Struthio camelus: one gene and its partner. The main gene of each other region encodes a partner of the protein of the gene in region 2 in a complex. Links are inferred from orthologs where the notes say so. Each region holds a gene or a part of one and is shown on either strand. Other genes may lie near its edges. The genes, in order: CD40LG and CD40.

Region 1 (9,960 bases), on a different chromosome or scaffold from region 2:
GTCCAGGCTAGGGCTGTCCGCAGGCCACCAGACCGTCCCGCAGCAGCCGCGCTGGCGTGATGCGGCCCCGCAAGCGAAAGCGGCTCGTTTCCAATCCAAGAGGAAAAGCAGAGCTCGGTTCCCTTAACTCCAACCAGAATAAGCGTGCCTCACCGTAAAAACTAAACCGTTGTGCGTTTCCAGGCAAATCTAAGGAAGGCCACCGAAAGCGGCCGGCACGGGGCGCGCAGACCTCGCGTGGGGCAGCCTGCGACCGCGGGGCAGGACTGCCGGGGGGCCGCCGGGTCTGGCAGGCGCATCGTACCTGAGACCGCCTTGCTGCTCTTGGCCCCCGCCAGGTGGGCTGCGATCGGCTGCCTCTTCTCCGCTGCAACGGGGAAAGGCCGGGGTTATTCGCGCCTTGCTGTCCCCCTTCGGCAGCACAGCTGTGCTGGCATCGCAGCCCTCCCCTAGGCTTGCCCGTTTCTCTATGGGCCAAATCCGGCTCCGAAGCCCCCCCATCCCCGAGCGAGGCAGGATCCGGCCCCGCTCAGCCCAGTCCGCCTGGGAGCGGGATTCCCGGGCGGAGGAGAGCGCGCAGCATCGGCCCCGCCGCGGGAGCAGCCCGCGCCGGCCCCGCGCCTCACCTGCCACCGACGTCTCGTTCTTGCCCTTCGAGTGGGAGTGCTCATGGCCTGCAACGGGAAAAGGCCGGGGATTGAATTTCGGGTTCGTTTCCATCGGCTTTGGGCAAAGCGGCGCTCGGAGCGGCCGGCCCCCGGCCCCCGTGCGAGCCTTGCCCGGCACCCGGCTCCGCCGGCCCCGCGCTCGGCCCGTCCGCGAGCGCCGCTGGCAAACTCACCTTTCTGCATTTCGAACTTGGGGCGCTCCTCGCTGACTCCGCCGTCCTGCAACAGCAGGGGGGAAAAAAAAAAAAAGAAATTTAAGATATACCGATCGAAAGGTTTCAAAGCCTCTGTGCAAAGGATGCTTTGGCCCCCGCAGCCCTGCTGCTGGTGGCAGAGGGTACCCGAGCCCACCGAGCCCCTCCGACAGCTCCCGCAGCATCACACGCAGCGCAGCCTGCTTGAAGGGCTTCTGCTCTTCGGCTTTATGCCATTCAAACGCTGAGACAGGGGAAGTTTTTTTGAAAACAAAGCGAAAACCCCTTTTCAGGCTGTTGAAACACCACGCCTGGGAGCCACGCTGGGGGGCCGTGTGTGCTCCCCGGCCAGCTGTGCCTGGCCCCGCCGCGCGCCCCGCCGGGTTTCGGGACGGCTCAGATGGGCCCGTCTCATAGTTTGCTGTTGTCGGCCGGGTGCCGCTGCCGACGTGACCCCCACTGGCTTTGCCGGGGTGCAGCGGCGGATGCCCTTGGCGTGCACGGGCCGCGCGGCAGAAGCGCCCCTGCCCTCTCGGCGCAGCCTTCGCCAACAGCGCCTGCAGCGCGGAGCGGGCTGGGAGCGCCCCGTCCTGCCCCGTCACCGAGGCCGGGCAAGGTGGGCGTATGGGCGCCCTCGCACCCCCCCGGCAGATGCTCCGAGCGGGGAGCCAGGCGGGATTGAGGGCAGAGCCGGGCTTTGCCGCCGGCCGCCCGCGCCGCCCGCTCTGCCCCGGGCTCCCGGGCTGCGGCTCCGACGCTCCGCCGGCCCCCGCACAGACACTGCCTATGTACGCTCTTGCCGAGAGCGTTTTGGGAAAACAGTTTAAAAAAGGACACCCGTGGTTTTGAATAAAGCTGTGCGTGTGTTTCTGGGAGCCCCCCTCCACCGCCAGCAGGGTCTCTATCCGGCTAACAGCAGTCTACCTTGCACTGGAGATCCTGGAAGCCTCTTAAAATCTTATCACAGTCCAATAAAGTCGATTTCCGACCTTCTGCCGTCTGACATTTCTGTACTTTCCGCAGGAAGACGTAATCTTCATTTAAGCTCAAGGCTTCTTCCATCTGCCGGCGAGGGAAAGGAGAGAGGGTAAACGGGGTGTTACTGGGAAGGGTGCAGCAGCCGGGGGCCGGAGCCGGGCTACAGCCCCTCCAGCAATAAAAAGCAGCCGGCAAAGCTCGGTGTCAGCCCTTCAGCGCCAGGGTCAGACGCACCAGGGTGGCGCGCGCAGCCCCGAGCCCCCAGCGCGGAGCAGGCACCACTGGGGCCGGCGGCACCGCGGGAACCACGCCGCCGGGGCTCATCCCGGCGAGGGGCAGCGGGCAGCAGGATCGCTCGGGATCCTGGCCAGACCCCTTTTCTATCACCTCTTCAGTCAAATTCTCCACTCCACCCTCTCCAAAAGGCAGGTGGCAAAAGTTTGCCTGATGGGCTTTACGGACCCAGGCACGGGGACGGCAGCAAGGGGCTGGGGGCTGGCTCGGGCCCCCGCTCCCGCCGGCCGCAACCGGGGCACCCCGGGGCCAGGGCCGCCCTGGCCAGAACTGCGCTGCTTTCTGGCAGCGAGTTTATTGACAGCGAAAAGTTTCTAAGAGACTGAACTGACCGGTGAACTGGGGCTGAATTCTGCCCAGAGTTTCAGAGTAAAAAAAAAAAAAAAGAGAGAGATTAGGAAAAAAATTAGAACGCCAAGAAAAGAATTGAAATTTTTTAAAAAAAGGAACTGATTTGTGAAATGACATCTGGGTTAAAAAAAAAAAAAACCCTAACATTTATCTGAGCAACAGAAAGAACCGCAGGCAGATGTGCGGACGGAGAGTCCCGGGCTGGCCAAGAGCTCGACCCGGGCAGTGCTGGGCACCCGGGGCCGGGTTTGGCATCCGGCCGCGTGCACCGAAACCCTCCTGCTGCCGGGGACCCCGCTTCATCTCCCGCTCCTCCGAAAGGGCGCTGCGCTGCAGCTGGTAAGGAGAACTCATTCTGGGTTTTATACCCGTTTAGTTTCTTTAAGTGGTAGGTTTCTCTTTTTTTGGAGGAAAATACTTTTAGGAAAATGCTTATGAGCGTTGTATGGTGCAGCGGGAGTCATGGCAACCTTTAAAGCTACTTTTCAGTATTGAATTTTTTGGTAAGTATTGTCCCAGGTGCAGGACAGGATCGCTGATAAAGTGTCTCTTTAGAAAAGACTAAGTATTAAGATCTGCTCTTTTCTTCCCGGAGCATAAAGACAACATCTGAAGTGAAGTCTGCAATATTATCACATGAAAACGTTTTAAAAAGTCATTTCTGGACCCCTTTCTCCTTGGTGTCACAGAGCCGCCAAGTTCTGTGGGACCAGACAAACCACCAAGTAGCTCCCCAAAAGCCTAAAATAACCACTCATGTGTTTAAGCCACGCTCTCCTCGCCTCAGCTCTGGCCGGACCAACTGCTCGGTTTGCTGTTAATGGCTTTTCGTTATTGATCCAGTCTCGTTTTGTTAAGGGAGGGAACAAATCTCTCGTCATCAGCACACATCTTACTTAGCAGCAAATTAAAGCAGAAACAAGAACGCGGGTGCAATAAATGCCTCTCCTGTGTCAGTCCAGTGGCCGGCATTGCCTGGTACCATTTTCACCTTTGTGTTTCTCAGGTCTCTCCGCGCTGAAGGCAAATCATGTTAGCAATCCAGCAGACCCGACTTTATTTCGACACTTACCTTATCCATCTTCATGTGAAGATATAAACAGAACAGTACAGTCCCAATCATCTGTGCTACAATAAATACTGTGAGGAAGCACATGAACATTTTCATGGTGCTGGGCGAGGTGCTGCTCATGGGTCTGGGTGCTGCAGGGCTGTAGGGTTCATTCATCCTCCGGGCAGGCTGCTGGGTCTCCCTCGTCAAACGCACTGCTTGCACGTAGCATGAGAACTGTTGTGTGAGCAGCCGCTACTCAAGGGATACAGGTTGCAGCAACCTACACTTCCTGGAAAAAACCCTTCGTAGTGGGTAGGTTTGTTCACGACTGTCTCCCACAACAAAAAAAAGGTTGCTTAGACTTTCTTCTCTTGTGCACTTCCATGCTTTTTCCTACCGTCCTACCAGAAGCAGTTAGAAATTCTTATTCCATGTATTCATATTTGCCTTCGAAACACTCCAGACTGTGCCCCAATGATTTTTTCCTATCGTGGATGAATGTTTCGCAGCTGACTGTCTTTAAAGAAACGAAGACCGCAAATCCACGGGCAGAGCTGCTGAGGTGCAGCGTGGGCTGCCAGGGCTTAGGAAGCACGTGGAAAGCTGGTCGTTTCTCAAGAGGGGAAGAAAGTCCTTTTGCTCTCTGGTTCCTTCACTGAGGAGGATGAGTTTGCAGTTAAGCCGCTTGGCTAAGGCGGGTGGGCTGTGCTGGCTTCTGGACTTGCCTTGTGCTCTGCATGGGTGAAGGCACAGCAGGTTTCTGCCCAGTTAGATGGGGTGCTCCTGGAGCAAGGCCATCTCTACGGGCCCCGGGAGCCCAGCGTGCGCCCAGCCTCCATGCTCCTTGACGGACAGCAGGTCTTTGGGTCTCGAGGCTGCCTCTTGGCCCTCTGTTTGGAGAGACAAGTTTTCAGCAGCTTTCGCAGTACCTCAGTGAGGTGCTCACCCTGCATCCAAGAGCACAAGTATGCTCAGACAGTGTCCTCACTTATACATGTATAACTATGTCTATTTTCATGGGCATGGAAAGGACTCTTGGGGCAGCTGGGCACTCCTGCCAGCTGCTGACCTCCCTGGGTAGCCTCAAAGCAACCTTGGACAACCTCAACCCTGTGTCCCATGGTGACACTCAGCCTCTGCTTCTCCAGCCAGCACCAGGGGGGTAACATCCTGCCGCCGCTTGCCTTGTCTGCCCAGATTCAGAGCTCCTCAGGGCACCTGGCACTTGTCCGGCCTTGCAGCACTCGTGCGATAATTTCAGATACCTGCAGAGGGGTCCTCACTGCTTGCGACAAGGGGCAGATCTCCCATCCTCCAGGCTAGTGGAAAGAACAAATCTAGGCATCTGCTGGGGCGCAGAGGACAAGAGCTGCACGGCTGCGGCACGAGGCCGGCTGCCTGCAGGGAGGGCTGGGGCTCTGTGTTAAAGGCAGTGATCAAATTGTCGTGTAAAGTTGTTTTGAAAGTAGTATGCTAAAGGCAATGCTCTTATCAGATGTGCATACAGCAAATAAAGGGTAGGATCCTTCTAGAAGCAGCAGGGTGCTGAGCAGGGCACTGCTTTCTGGCAGCCCAGGGAGAGGAGGGGACTCAGCGCCTTGTTGGGTTGCTCAGTGCCTTGCAGGATTGAGTCCAGCATTTGCTGTTGCTGCCTACCCACTCGCTCGCATCCTGTCCTGTGTGGTTAGGGCGCTGTTAGCTGCAGATGCAAACGCTAGTAACAAAGCACAAACAGCTCTGCAACCAAGCCAGCATTTGACCTTGGCAGGTCACCATGTTCCTAAATATAGCACCCAAGTCACAAGCGTACGACAGCACCAGGGGCTTTGCTGGCAGCAACTCAGTGGCTGAGCAGCAGTCGACCAGCGGCCGAGACCTTGCTCAGAGCCCCAGGGCCGTCACCCCTCCAGCACCGGGGGCAGTTTTGGTGCAGGGCTGACAGCACTGGGGCCAGGGGGAGGACAGAGCTGTGCTCCACAGCATTGCCTTGGCTTTCTAGAGGACGCCGGGGGTCCTGCCAGCGGCAGCCCACAGCTCATGCATCTCCCCGTCCCAGGCTTGCCTGGCTCTGCCAGCTCTCCAGGGCAGGACCAGCTTCACAGCCGCGCAGGAACATCATCCCAGAGGGTGCTGAGGACACCCCGTGCTGGGTGGCGAAAGTGGCTCCCCTTGGTATCAGTGGGGCTTTGGACCTGGTCCTTGGCCCAGCCATGCAAGGGATGGAGCCAGCGAGCCACCTGAGGGCAGTGCCAAGCCAGTGACTTCATTCCCTTTTACCCTGCAGCTGGCATCATCTTTGGGAACGCCAGTCCCGGCCACCGCACAGAGCTCTGAGCTGAAACCTGGCACCAAGGCATGACCTCTGCCATGGGGAGTCTGCCACCTTCACAGCAAAAAAAGTCAGTTCATGGTGGCCACCTTTGAAGCCAGTGCACGTGGCAAGGGCCACAGACCCGCTGATATGCAGGGTCTGGGGCACCACTCTGTGGATCACCCTCTTCGCCTGGTCTCCAAAGTCCTAGCGCGATGGCTTAACGTGATGGCAATCATCGACATTTTCCAAGGCTCTTCAGCATTTCTTCCGAATTTAGCAGTCATATTTGGGGAAACTCTTTAAATGAGAAACAAAATGACATGCAAAGTCATTACTTAATACCTTCCCCGAATCCTGAGCATTAAGGTAATCTTGAAATGTGTGAAACCACAGCAATGAGTCGTGCAGAGAACTGCAAGTGAGGTTTTGCAGATATTCCTAAGCCCTGGCTGTCACCTGCAGATGAAACTTGTTTCAAGCAGCTTCTGGATAGCTACCCATCTCCGTTTCACCGAAATGAGAGGAACCTGTAAGTAACACCGGAAACCCCTAGCGCATCGCTATCCGGATAGCACGCACCTTGCTAGGGAGGCCAGAGCTGGGGCTCCTGCTCAGAGGGGCCGGCGAATTCGATGAGGTGACTGGGGAAAGTCTCCGATTATGGGTACCCGATGCAAAACTTCGCAGGAGAGCTGGTGAGCTTGTTCTGGAAACGAGGAAACCGAGACTCGCTAGTCACTAGCGCCCTGACGAACAGAAACGGGTGGAAAATATGACACGGGGAATCCTGGCAGAGCTTCGTCAGCGCACCTCACCGGGAGGGCTGGCTGACAGCTCCTCTTCGGGAAACCATTGCTTCATATCGGCAATCCAGCCTGTCGTCACTCCGCACTTCAGCGCTCGTGGCTGTTGCAGACCTGGCAAGCTGATGTGGGAGCAACCCCTTGGGCTTCCGCTCCCACAGTTTCCTCTACGCCGGGCACAGCAGGAGCAGAGCTGACGGCGTCACACCGCCAAAGAGGTGCTGGCTGCAGAGGAAGGCAGGCTCCTTTGGTCCATCCCGTCACCTTGACCGTCCAACTCCGGAGGACCTGGGAGGACAGAGCAGGGTTTGCTGCATTGTTGGCCCTTGGGGGTACCACGTGGCCCAGGAGACATGCTCTGATGCCCATCTCACTGTTTCACATAGGGCATGGTGGGGATGGGGAGAGACACCCTGTGTCCTCAAGGTCTTGAATAAGGCCAAAATCCGTGTTAGCCTATGCCAGGTCCAGGCAACACTGTGGATGCTCCTCCTTGACCACTTGGCTGCTGTAGACACCAGAGGGAGCATAGCGGAGGGGGCACATCCTTGGGGAAAGAGAGGCATAGTCCATAGACACCCTGGGGAATGGAGAGTAGACCCAACACAGGGGCAAAGAGCCTGCCCACCTGTCATTTCCCAGGGAAGGTGAAGTCTGCTCAGCGTGAGCCCACCACCAAGAAACCAGAAGGGTTTTTCCTTCACCCTTCAGGCTCTCTGAACATAGCTGTACCAGCTGCCTGTGAACCCAAAGTGGCACGGTTCCTACAGCCAGATAACCTCCGACCGAGACGATGGGAAAATGTGATCCATCGCTTGCATTCCTATTGACCTAGTTGCAGTATTTCCGCTGATCAGCAAATTGTCTCCACTGTACTCGGCGCTCAAAGCTTTGTTTACCAAGAAAATATCCGGTTGCCTGCCCCAGTGATCTGTCAAACGCCGGTAGCATTTCTGAATGCAATAAGGTGAAAGCTGATGAAAAGAGAGTGATTTTTCTGGGTGCTCTCTGTGGTTTTGTAACTAGCTATTTAAAATGTGCTGCTTATCCCACATATTCTTTACAATTAACAAAAGTTAGGTATTGAGAACAACACATTCAGAAAGAAGATTTTATTCTGAGTCACAAAAAGCGTTTGCCTATGATGCCGTGGGAGGGATTCAGAAGGGAACCTATGAGATCTACATTAGTCCCTTCAGCACGGGGCTACAGTCAGAAGGGAAAATTGAGCTTTTCCATGTTTTGTTTTGTGATTTCCTTAGGTTTTCCCTCTCCTGCACCCCTGGAGATCTAACGTCTCCAGGATTAACCCTGTCGACAGACAGAAGGCGAGAACAGGTATAGCCATAGCACCACAGCAAACATCACCAGCATCTGGAGAAAGGCTATATTGCAGTTTCCATTCATTTTTTAGCTTGATGTTAATTAGAGAAAGCTTTCAGAGTCTAGAGTAGCAAGAAACTGCCTCGGGAATAGGAGAAAGTGTTATTGCTTGGGATGGTCACATCTCTTTGTGGAAGAAAAGCCCAGGAGAGAGTGGTGGTAGCTACTACCACAGCAGCTGCAGTCAAATCACTCTCTACGAATGGTCCCTCACCCATAGAAACACCTGCGCGGAGGTTATCAAAAGTCTTGGTCTCCAGCAGGTGTGAAGCGAGCCCTCCCAAGCCAGGGCTCGGGCTCGGACTCGTTGGCCTCCAGCCCTGCCACTGGGGAGAGCCAGCAGGCAGCAGAGCCAGGCTGCAGCCCCGGGGGTCTCAGCCCACCATGTCCCGTGGCTCCGCGCCGTCCCCCAGCTCTGATGTGGCCCCTGCTACTTGGGCTAGACCTTTTGGGGGCGCAGGCAGGTCGGGCCAGGGAGCAGAGAGGGACATCTCCCCCTTCCCTGCCACCCCACAGAGCAGCAAAGGGTGATAGAAAAAAGCTGCTGGAGATGGCACCGGGATGCTGCTGTCCCTCTGAGGCGCTCCACTGTTGTCCTTCTCCCAGGACTGTCACCCACCCGGCCTCCTTCCCTCCGTCCGTCCTCCCGCCCCTGCCCTGCCACACCACCCACGGATGCCCCCGAGCCAGCCTTTCCCTAGGGGGCCCAGCCGGATGAAGAGCAGAGAAACAAGCCCCTAGTGATGCCTTGGAGGACGGAGGGCCCCCGGGGGGGGGCCCGGCTCTGGTGCCACATCTGGGCTGCACATCTGGGCTGCAGTGCCAGCCCTGCCACGCCACGGGCGAGCTCGTCGCCGCGACCTGCTGGTGCTGAACCTTATTGAACCCGCGAAACCACAAATCGCGCTAGAAACTTCTTGCTGCGGACGCCTGCGCCTACTGCTCCCGACTTCCTAAAAATAGCGCCGGGCGCGGGGAGCCCGGTGGCACGGCCCCGGCGCTGCCAAACAAGCCCCTGCTGCCTGAGTCAGAGCGGAAGAAAGCAGGAGGCAGGAGCACCCCGCGCGCCCGGCCGGGAGCCACGCGCGGAGGCCCGCCGCCATCAAAGCCGAAGCGAAAGGCACCGGCGAGGCTCTGCCCTTTCATGTCGCCAGAGGAGCGGGGAAGAGCAAAACCTGCGGGAGGCCGCGGGGCCGGCGGCCGCCTCCTACGGCGCGGCGGGCCGCGGTGGGTGGGGAGGGTCCCGGCAGCGCCGGTACCTCGCCTCTTCCTCCCCCATCCCGCCCCGGCGATACCGGACCGAAACGCAGACGTGACTGTGTCTTCTGCATCCGCGTGGGACTCGCCAACAAAACAAAAGCCTCCGGAGTGGGGACATGCTCGCTTCCCGGCCGGGCTGCCCGGCGGGTGCTCTCGGGGGCCGGCGCTGCGGGGACCAGAGCCGTCTCCCCACGGCCGGGCTGCCCGCCCCTCGCCTCCCGCCCCCGGCCCCCTGGGTGTGAAATGCCAGCAGGTGACGGTTTTCCCCTCCGCCGTAAGGAGGGTTTGGCAGCCCTTGGATGCGATTCAGGGGATGATGCTCGGCGCAGCGCCGGGCAGGATGGGATCCCAAGGATTCGGGGTAGACGCTCTTGCAGGAGGCGGGTGAGACACCACGCATAAAGGCTGCATTTCGGCAGGCGCCCCGCGCCTCCCACCCAGCTGCCTCCGCTGCCTGCTTTGCAGCCCCTTCGCGGACGCGGATCCGAAAGCGGGGAGGCGACGTGTCTGCGCCCCGGCGGCACCTGCGCTGGCTCCCCTGCTGGAAATGCTCCTGCCCTATGTGTGAGACCGCTCTGTCTGATGGTCACTGGGAGCTGTTTGCAGGATTTGACCCATAGGCTTTGGCAGATTACTCCTTTTTTCCGGCAAAGCCTTGGGT
Region 2 (9,810 bases):
GGGAATTTAGCCACAACCACATAAATGCAGTATTGTTAACTCATTCCACTAGTACTATGAAGTTTAATTTTGTTAACCTATATTATTGCAGACAAAGCTGGAGCAATCAGCAACACTCACTGCACACACCTACCGAAATAGTCTCAGCTAAGATACTCAGGATTCATACTTTCTGCTTTAAAAGCCACTATAGCATAAAACTTAGAAAGAGGAAAAAAACACTGAAACTTGCAAGCCAAACTTGCAAGACTGAAAGCTATTTAATAAAATAAGGTTGTCATCCTTTCCAAACATTCATCTACAGGAGTGCAGGGTTGAGACTGTCTGTTTATAGGGATGGAAGTAACCTGAAAAAAAGCTCATGAGGTTAAATCGAGCACATCAACAAAACTTTCTACTGTTAATCATGAGGTACTCTATAACCAGCACACTCCCTAACAATAAACTAAGTTGACTACTATTTAAAAGTAGCTTCTAAACAAGCATGTCAAACTTCTTAAATTATAAGACAATTTTACAGTGCTAATTAGCATGAGAAATAAATCTACTCCAGGATTTGAGACTAAGATCCATCAACTCTACATTCATATCACTTTTCTCCTTCTTTTAGGAAGCCCTGTGGAAAAGCAGGGGAGAGAACACCTCCCAGTCTAATTGTCTTCTTAAAAGTGAACGGAGTTGCTAAAACAGGGCGGTGGTTAAAACAAACAAACAGTTCTTATACCATAGTTGTGTCAACATCTTCCTGCAAGGCCAGTTTGTTCTCCCCTGTCATCTTTACTTTCCCCATCAGAAGTTTCAAATCTTGACCCCTTTTTCTTTACAGGGGCACTACAGCGTTTTCTTCTATTCTGCTGTTGCAGCTTAAGTTCTCATCAGTTGAGGGGAGAACAGCCTTCATATAATAAGTTAGAAGAGACCTCTGGAGGTCATCTAGTCCAACTCACACTCTAAGCCAGACCAACTTCTAAGTTAGATCCAGCTGCTCAGGACCTTGCCCAGCTGAGCTCAGAACATTTTCAAGAACAGAGATTCCACAGCCACTGTGAGCACCTCATCATAAAACATCACCCGTGTTTGCAATCTTGAGATACCATATCTACCCTAAGCACCCATCAGCAAAATGTGCAATACCTGTGGGCAGGACATTTTAATTCAGTGTCAAAAACAGTAAAAGACTCTTATCTTTTTCTTCTGGGGTGGCAATGAGAAGGGGTCGCTGGCAGAAGAGAGGGTAAGAACTTTCTATATGAGGAAAAATTGGAATATTTTCCAACTTGCTGGTGGCTTAGAAAATAAAGCAACAAATCCCAAACACTAATCCACAGCGAATTAGTAGAGGGCTTTCACCTAGAAGTATCTACTGCTACTCACCATTTCCCACCCAGTGGAACAAGTGGTTAAGGGTCATTTAATAATCATGAGAGCAGAAGTGAATGCCATCCCAGCTTTAGGCATGCTACACCAGGGAAGTTAATAATGTCACTACTAAGTCTCTTTCTAAGACTTTAATCAAAGAAGCTGAACACATAGCTAGATAGTTTAAAGACAATGATACTCCAGTGCACAAAGGGACCATCAGACCCGGCAGGTTACCACAGAAGAACAGCTACCGTTAGCTCACCTGCCAGTAAATTCCCCACAAGTTAATTAACATCATGTCTCTCTCTCTAAAACTGTAAATTTAAAAACAAAGTTTTATTTCACTAGTAGCGCTACAACTTCAGAACGCGAGACACAGTTGAAGCGGGACACCGAAACCGATTTGGCGCAACGGAAACATCATGCGCAAGTCTGTGAGAAGTTCCTGGGCAATGCCAAAAAAAGAGAGAGAGGAAAAAACACACCCAAAGCAAAAGAACAAAAAGAACAAAAACACAACGCAGGCACCAAACGCAGCGGAGAGCGAGTTTCACCTCCGCCCCGGGCCGCGGCTCACGGTGCAGCCCGGCCAGGCAGGGCGGCTCTCCCGGTGCGCGACCGGGGCAGGGGCGGGAGCCGGGCCGGACCGGGCCGCGGCGCCTCCGGCACGGCCGCAGCGCAGCGCAGCGCAGCGCAGCCGCCGCCCCCGCGGCGCCCCGGCCTCGCCCGGCGCGGCGCGGCCCGGCCGCCCGCGCTGCCTTCAGGCCCGGGCCCGGGCCGAGGCGAGACCCGCCGCGCCCCGCGGCGGCGGCGCCGAGAAGGACGCAGACGCTCCGCGAGGTTTGCTGTGGTACGTCTTTATTCGAGCACGCCGCGCCCCTCATAAAGCCGCGCCCGCCGCGGGGCCCCGCACCGCCGCGCACTTACCGCCGCGCCGGGCCCGCGCCGCCGCCCGCCGCCGCCCGCCGCCGCCCGCCAGGACAAAGGCGCCAACCGCCGCTGCCGCACGGCGCTGTCGCAACGAACGGGCGGAAACGCCGCCGGAAGGGCGCCGCCCCGCGCTTTACGGCGCGGCGCGCTGGCGGGCGGCCGCCCCGGCTCCCGGCGTGCCCCGCGGCCGCCGCGAGGCGTGACGGGAGTCGTAGTCCCGCGGCCGGCGGGGCCGGCAGCCGCCAGGCGGCGCCGCGGGAGCCCCGGCGGCTTCGGGCGGGGCGCTGCGCCCGCCCCGCCCCGCCCGCCCCCGGCCCGCCCCCGCCCCCGGCCCGCCCGCCCCTGGCCGGCCCCGCCCCTGGCCGGCCCCGCCCCGCCCGCCCCTGGCCGTCCCCGCCCCGCCCGCCCGGCCCCGGTCCCGGCCCCGGCCCCGCCCCGCCCCGCCCGCCCGCCCCCGCCCGCCCCCGGCCCCGGCTCCGGCCCCGCCGCCCGGAGCCCGGAGCGTCCCCTGCCCTCGGCTGCCGGCCGGCGGGGCCGCCGGGCGGGGGGTCTCCCCGCCGGGCCCTGCTGGCCGCGCCGGTGGCGCCGGGCTGCCCGCGGGAGCGAGGGCCCGGGGCTGCGGGGACTTCCCGGGCCGCTCCCTGCCGGCCGGCCCAGAAATCCCCGGCCGCCGCCGCCCTGCGCCCTCCTCGCTCCCCTGGGACCGCTCGGGCTTTCGAGCCCGTCAGTTTTGGGAAACGACGGCGGCGCGGGGAATCCGGGGCGCGCGGGAGCGGCGGGAGGCCGTGGGGCTGCCCTCGCCGCCCCGGCCCCGGCCCCGGTGTGGGGCCGTCGCCCCCGGCAGCCAGGCTCGGGCGCGGCTGTGCCGCCCGGCGAGGAGCCGGCGCCGGGCAGCGCGAGCGGTCGGACCAGGGCCGGACTGGCACGGGGCGACCGCGGGCCGGGCAGCTGTGTTGCTGCGGGGCTGCTGTGTGGGGCGTGACGGTCACAGTGTGGCCCTGGGGCAGGACGTGGCGGTGGGATGGGACACGGCCATGGGGGGGGATGTGGTGGTGGGATGGGACATGACTGCAGCGTAGCCATGGGATGGGAGCTGGCGGTGGGACGGGATGTGGCCACAGTGTACCTGTGGGATGGGACGTGGCAGTGGGACTGGATGTGGCCATGGGATGGGACATGGTGGTGTGATGGGACATGGCAGTGGGACAGGACATGGCGGTGTAATGGGTCATGGCCATGGGATGGGACATGGCGGTGTGATGGGTCATGGCCATGGGATGGGACATGGCCAGAGCATAGCTGTGGGACAGGACGCGGCAGTGGGACGGGACGTGGTGGTGTGATGGGACATGGCTGCAGCGAGGCGGTGGGACGGGACGTGGTGGTGTGATGGGACGTGGCCGCAGCATGGAGGTAGCATGGGACATGGCTGTGGGATGGGACATGGCTGCAGCACAGCTGCAGGGAGGCTCCGTGTGACTGCGTGTGGGGCACGGAGGGATTCAGAGAAAGCCCGTTTCCTGCCTGGCCACTCACCATGAACTGGAAACAGGAACTCTGGGAAATTCTCCAAAGCAAGGAAATGAGTCTGGAAGTTCCCTGGGGATTGCTCTGGGGAATCCTCGGCAGGGCAGACCCTGCGGCAGCACCCGGCCCCACAGCACTGCTGCCCCTTCCATGTTCGGGGCTGACGTATTTCTGGGGACTCCGTGCGGATGCCGGCCCTGTGGGGAGGGATGGGGGCCACCGTCCTGAATTACCCTTGGGAAACTGAAGTGAAACCTTGAACTTCTGCCTCCAGAATAAGTTAGCAGGGCCAGCACAAACACTTTCCTCCGCGTGGCCCACCGGTGAGTCCTGCCCTCAGCCGCGCACCCGGGCGAGGTGCGGGCGGCCCGGCAGGCACATGGAGCGGGCAGGGAGCTGGGCGCACAGCCGGGCCCGGGTCCTCACGCAGAGCCACCACGGGAGGAACCGGCGGGTCCGACCCCGGCTGCTCCCTGCTGCCCCGGGCAGGGGCGATGCCGGGCCAAGCTGCCGGGCTGGTGCCCTGCAGGGTCGGCGGCAGGATGACTGAGGCGGGTGCGCGTCCCGCTGCGCCGGTGCTGCCGCGTGCCGGCCGCGTGGCTCTCCGGGCTGGGGTGCGGGGCCAGCCGGGCACGGCGAGCCCTGCGGGGTCTGTGCCAGCGGGATTCCCCTGCCCGGGGACTCCCTGGCTGCTCTTCCGCTGCTCTGCGCGGCCAGCGGAGCCTGGCGCCGGGGCTCCCCGCCGCAGCGCCGCTCACTGAGCATCACCGGGCAGACCAGGGCTGAGGGCACGGGCGCTCCTGGGGCCCGGCGAGCCGGCACCCGCGGGACACCGAGGTGGGCAGGAGCACGAGAGCGGCGCTGGGCAGGAGGGCTCCCGTCATCTCGGTGCAGCGGGCTCTGCCGCCCCTGCCCGTCAGACCCGGGGGGACAGACCCGTCGCCCCCTGCTCTCCGCCCCGAGCAGGGCTCTGCCCTACGTTCCCGGGGGCCGGGGCTCGCCGCCCCGCGGGGACCGGCCGAGGCCGCGCGAGTGGCTCCCGTTGGTGGGACCCGCCGGGCAGCCCCGGCCGGAGCGGGCTGCACCTCCCGCCCGCGGTGCCGGCCCCTCGACGTCCCACGCCGGGGAAGTCCCCGAGGCGAGCGGCTGCCGCCTGAGCACGCCCGCCACTGCGAGGGGGCGTTGGCAGCAGCCTGCGCCAAACAGCGTGTGCTCCGCGAGCCGAGGATGGGCGGCCCTACGTCCCCTTCCTGGGCGGAAACGGGCCGAGGCGTTATTACGGACTGCTCCGCCGCCCCCGCAGCGGCTGCGGGACGCTCAACGCCATGAAGCTGCTCGGACTCCTCTGGCTCCTCTGCGCGGTGCTCTGGGGCGTAAGTGCTGCTTCCCGCCCAGGCTGCGCACCGGCGCCGGCGGCCCCTTCCCACGGCGGCCGGCCGCGGCCCGCGGGGACCGGGCCGGGGCTGGGCAGGGCCGGGCGGCTGCGCGGGGAGCGATGCCGGGCTGCCCCTGCCCGCCCGCTGCGGGGGGAGCGATGCCGGGCTGCCCCTGCCCGCCCGCTGCGGGGGGAGCGATGCCGGGCTGCCCCTGCCCGCCCGCTGCGGGGGGAGCGATGCCGGGCTGCCCCTGCCCGCCCGCTGCGGGGGGAGCGATGCCGGGCTGCCCCTGCCCGCCCGCTGCGGGGGGAGCGATGCCGGGCTGCCCCTGCCCGCCCGCTGCGGGGGGAGCGATGCCGGGCTGCCCCTGCCCGCCCGCTGCGGGGGGAGCGATGCCGGGCTGCCCCTGCCCGCCCGCTGCGGGGCAGAGCGCGCAGCGCGGGCGGCAGCGCGGGGGCCGGGACCGCGGCACGGCGTGACACCCCGGCCAGGGCCGGCCCGGCCCCGCAGGGCTTTCCAGGAAGGCAGCGCCGGCCGCGGCGCCCTCGGGCCGCCCGTCCCTGCCCCGTGGGCCGTCCCGCGGGAACGCTCCCCGCGCCGGGCCGGGAGGCGCTGGGGGTCGGGCAGGACCGGCCGAGGCCAGCGCCGCTGCCGCCGCGCTGGGAAAGCCGTAAAGGAAATCCTGGCCGGGAGCCCTGCGCCCGGCTCTCGCTTCGAGACACAAAAGTTTATTGTTCCTCATTTTTGTGGCTGGGAATTTCCCAGCAAGCGCTCAGCTTCTCGGCACCCTCCCACACGCGCTCGCCGCGCCGTGCCCCCGGGACCCCCACTGCCCGTGCCCGGCCGGTCCCCGTCCCGGCGCCGCTCTCTGCCCGGGGAGCGGGCGCCCCGACGCCCCGCGGACCCGGCGCCGCTCTGCCGCCAGCCCGGTGCTGCCCGGTCGGGGCGCAGCCGCGCTGGGCCGGGGCGCCGAGCGGCCGAGCCCCCGGCACAGGGCGCACGCAGCCCGGCACGCAAAACGGCGCGGGCCTGAGAGCCCCTTTCGGTTCCCTTTCCTGCTACGCAAGAGAAACGCAGGGTGTCGGGCTCCCTCGGGGCCGGTTTCCCTCCGCCGGCCGGGCGCCCGACGCCAAACCTCGCGGCGCCCCCAGCCCCTTTGCCTCCCTCCGCCCCTCGGCGGAGCAGCCCCACGGGACCCCCACGCCGGCCGCGGCGCCCCTTGCTCCCGGCCCTCCCCCAGCCTCGGACCCCGCGGCCCCGCCGGCCCCTCCGTCCCCTCCGCCCGGGCTGGCGCCCACCCGGCTGGGAACGGCCACCGGGCTGGGGCTGCCCCGTGCCGGGCCGGCTCCCCCGCGGGCCGCTCCACTCCCTCCCGCGGCCAGGCTGGCCCCAGGGCTGAGCCCCGGGGTCAGGGGCTGCTCCTGCCTCCCCCGCTGCCTTCCCCTGCCCGCGGGGAGCGAGGCAGGGCTCTGGCCGGCTTCGTGCCCACCAGGCGCCGGCCCAGGGCTTCGCTGCCCCTCGGAGCCGAGCGCCGGGAAGGGGCAGGGGACGCGCGGTTGGCGCTGCTGCCCCTGCCCGGGAGCGCAGGCTGTTGGCAGCGGCGGGGCGCAGAGCGCTGTGCAGTCACCACCCGTTAGGAAGTGTGGGGAAACATTGCACCGGAATTGCTGCCATCCCACTTCAAACGGCGCACTGGCGGCAGGCGGCGGCGCAGCCGGCTCGGCTGCGGTCTGTGGTTAGAGCGGCCCCGGGAAGGGGCTGCAGGACCGCCTCGCCTCGGGACGCGGGCGCAGCGCTGGCCGCCTGCGGGAGCCAGGCTCCCGGCGGGCACCGGGGAGCAGCGCGGACTCCCAGGCCTCTTCTTTTCCAGTGCTGGCAGCCTGTCGACACCGTAAAATGCTCTGAAAAGCAGTATGAGCACAAGGACAAGTGCTGCAACCGGTGCCAGCCAGGTACGGAGACCCTTCCCCTTCGGGTGAGCCCCCGAGCCCGGGCCGTGGCCGGGACCCGGGCGCCTGGTCCCCGCTTGAGCCCCGGGCCGGCTCCAGGGTGGCCAGAGCCGCCTCACCCCATCGCCGGCCGCAGCCCACAGCTTCGCTTGCGTTTCGCCTTCGTGCCAGAGCGGCTGGGGACCTCACGGGACCCTGATAGACCCTGGACCTGCCCCATCTCGCTCGCGCTGCCTGTGCTCCCGCGGCCCGCAGCACCCGGCGGCCCGGGCAGCCTGCAGGCAGAGCGCTCCCGCCGGCGCCGCACCCGCTGCCAGCTCCCTTCCCGGGCCGTTCCCCAGGCCTTGGCCCACGGAGAGCGCGGACGGCCCTCCCGGCCCTCCCGCTGTAGCCCCCGGCGCCGCCAGCCGCCGAGCCCACGGCCGGAGCAGCGCCCGGCCGGCCAGCCGCAGCCGCCAGCGCCCCCCCCGCGTCCTGCCGGCAGAGCTGTGGCGCTGCCCCCCCCACAACCAGCCTCGCTTGCAGGGAAAAAGCTGGTCTCCGAGTGCAACGGCACGGCGGAGTCCCTCTGCGACGCCTGCGAGAGCGGACACTACCAGCAGGGCTGGACCAAGGAGAGGCACTGCAACCCGCACGACATCTGCGAGGACAGTGAGTGTCCCTGCGCCCGCGGCTGCGCCGGGGCGGTCGCCCGCGTCCCGCTGGTGCCTCACCCCCGTCTTGCTCCTCCCGCCCAGACGCCGGCCTCGTGGTGAAGACGGAAGGGAACGCCACGCACAACACGGTGTGCCAGTGCCGGGCCGGCATGCACTGCTCCGACGCCAGCTGCCAGACCTGCGTGGAGAACCCGCCCTGCCAGCGGGGCGCTGGCTTTGTGGCAGGTGAGACGGGCCCGCTCCTCCCCTCTCCGCTGGACCGGGAGAGGGGTGTGCCGCCAGCCGGGTCCTGCTGGCAGAGCTTCGGGAGAGCTCCGGCCTCGCCGCCCTCGCCCCAGCCCGCGGCCCCGTTCTGACCTGCCGCAACCCCTGCTCCTTTGCAGCCAAGGCCGCGGCCCGGACCTCGTCCCCCTGCGAGCCCTGTGCCGAAGGCACCTTCTCCAATGTCTCGTCTAAAACGGAGCCGTGCTACCCCTGGACAAGGTACAGCCCCGCACCCCGTCCCTGCCTGTGCCCATCTCCGCGAGCACGTCCCTTGCTGCCAGTGACTTTTGGGGCCGCGAGGGCCCCATGGCTGGGATGCTTTTTGGGGGGGCAGCATCAGGCTGGCATGGGGCCGGAGAGAGGGGAGCAGCAGCCGTGGGCACGGCGAGGTCGGGGTGGCGCAGCCGAGCTGGAGGCAGACACGGGGGCGCTTGCACCGTCCCTCAGTGCCAGTGCATCATGCTGGGGGCCCAGCATGGGCCGCAGCGTGAGGGGCTGCGGAGACCCCCATCCGGCACGGCTCTCCCTCCTGGCACACTCCCTGGCTGCAAAAATTGGGCTGAGGCACCAGCCGTCTCTGCAGGGAGCGGGAGCCTGGCGTCGAGGATGCCGCGGGCTGGCAGAGCTCCCCTGTCTTTAGGAAGCTGCTCAAGGGTTAATTGCACTCCCTGACAGAAGCCTGTGCCTTGTTTCCAGGCTGAATTAGTCTCGCTTCAGCTGCCAGCCATTGGATTTCACTTTGCTTTTATCTGTGCCCAGAAATTACCTCCCTGTGGAGCCACTTGTAGCCTGTCATCAAGTTGTCTCCAAACCGTTCTGGAATAGCTAAAGTGCCCAAGGCCCAGGGCATCACGGCCAGGGCAGGGTTCAACCCCGTTCCCTCCTCTGCCTCCTCCCTGAACACGTCCCCATCTGCAGCAGCTCCTGCATCCCGGTCCGGGACCCTGGAGCGGGACGTGCTGTGCCCGGCCGGGAGCCCCAGCCACGAGCCCCCTCCGGAGCCCCGCGACTTCGTCCCAGGGCGCTTTCCCACGTGCCCCAGTGCTCCGCCAGCCCCGGCCTTTTCCCCGGGAGCTCCCCGCACGCTCAGGCTCCTGCCGTGCTCACAGGGTCTCGTTCTTGTCCGCAGCTGCGAGGAGAAAGGGCTCGTGGTGAAGGTGAAGGGGACGAACACGTCGGACGTGCTCTGTGGTGAGTGCGCGGTGCCCAGGCTGGACGGCACTGGCAGGGGATCGCCCGGGACGCCGGCTCCGGCGGCGAACGCTCCCCACGGCACCCCGCTGCACGGCCAGCCCCAGCGCTCGGGAACCTGGCCAGCCTGTGGGTGCTTCTGGGAGACGAGCGTCTGACGTTACTGCCGGCGTCACGTCGTGCTGCTCCTCCCCGTCCCCGTGCGGGATCCGCCCGGCACTCGGCCCGGAGCCGGAGCGCTCAGGGCGCTCGGGGGCCGGGAGCACGTGCCAGGGCGCTCGCAGCCACGCTCACCTCTCGCCCTCCGCAGAGTCGGGCAGGCGCTCCTCGCTGTCGGTGCTGATCCCCATCACCGCCGCCATCGTCACCTGCCTTGTGGGCATCTGCATCTACTGCCTGGTCCACAAAGGTGAGAGCTGGGACATGGCGAGGCGGTGCCTGCTGCATGCCGGGCCGAGCAGCCCACGCCAGGGGGATGTCGGCAGCTCTGCCGAGACCCAGGCAGCCCGTCTGGGGACCCCACCGGCGCACTGCTGCTTGGAGCCCATCACCCGG

What was found.
Region 1: the proteins of CD40 (region 2) and CD40LG are in contact, whole or in part, in a crystal structure (PDB 3QD6), measured with the Homo sapiens proteins. The link is inferred for Struthio camelus from reciprocal best matches to the Homo sapiens genes CD40 and CD40LG. Residues at the interface, in NP_001241.1 of Homo sapiens: Glu64, Ser65, Glu66, His76, Cys77, Gln79, Tyr82, Asp84, Asn86, Leu87, Trp109, Cys119; in NP_000065.1 of Homo sapiens: Ile127, Glu129, Ala130, Lys143, Gly144, Tyr145, Tyr146, Cys178, Pro217, Cys218, Gln220, Ser245, Gln246, Ser248, His249, Gly250, Thr251, Gly252.

Annotation. Positions count from the first base shown.
Region 1 is NC_090952.1:23,042,967-23,052,926, forward strand, and holds the start of CD40LG (CD40 ligand), read right to left. Parts: upstream 3,801-9,960; 5' UTR 3,714-3,800; coding exon 3,558-3,713; intron 1,925-3,557; coding exon 1,787-1,924; intron 888-1,786; coding exon 842-887; intron 675-841; coding exon 627-674; intron 368-626; coding exon 305-367; intron 1-304. UniProt on the Homo sapiens protein: Cytokine that acts as a ligand to CD40/TNFRSF5. Costimulates T-cell proliferation and cytokine production.
Region 2 is NC_090959.1:19,465,291-19,475,100, forward strand, and holds the start of CD40 (tumor necrosis factor receptor superfamily member 5), read left to right. Parts: upstream 1-4,993; 5' UTR 4,994-5,144; coding exon 5,145-5,192; intron 5,193-7,065; coding exon 7,066-7,147; intron 7,148-7,669; coding exon 7,670-7,795; intron 7,796-7,881; coding exon 7,882-8,025; intron 8,026-8,183; coding exon 8,184-8,283; intron 8,284-9,193; coding exon 9,194-9,255; intron 9,256-9,565; coding exon 9,566-9,664; intron 9,665-9,810.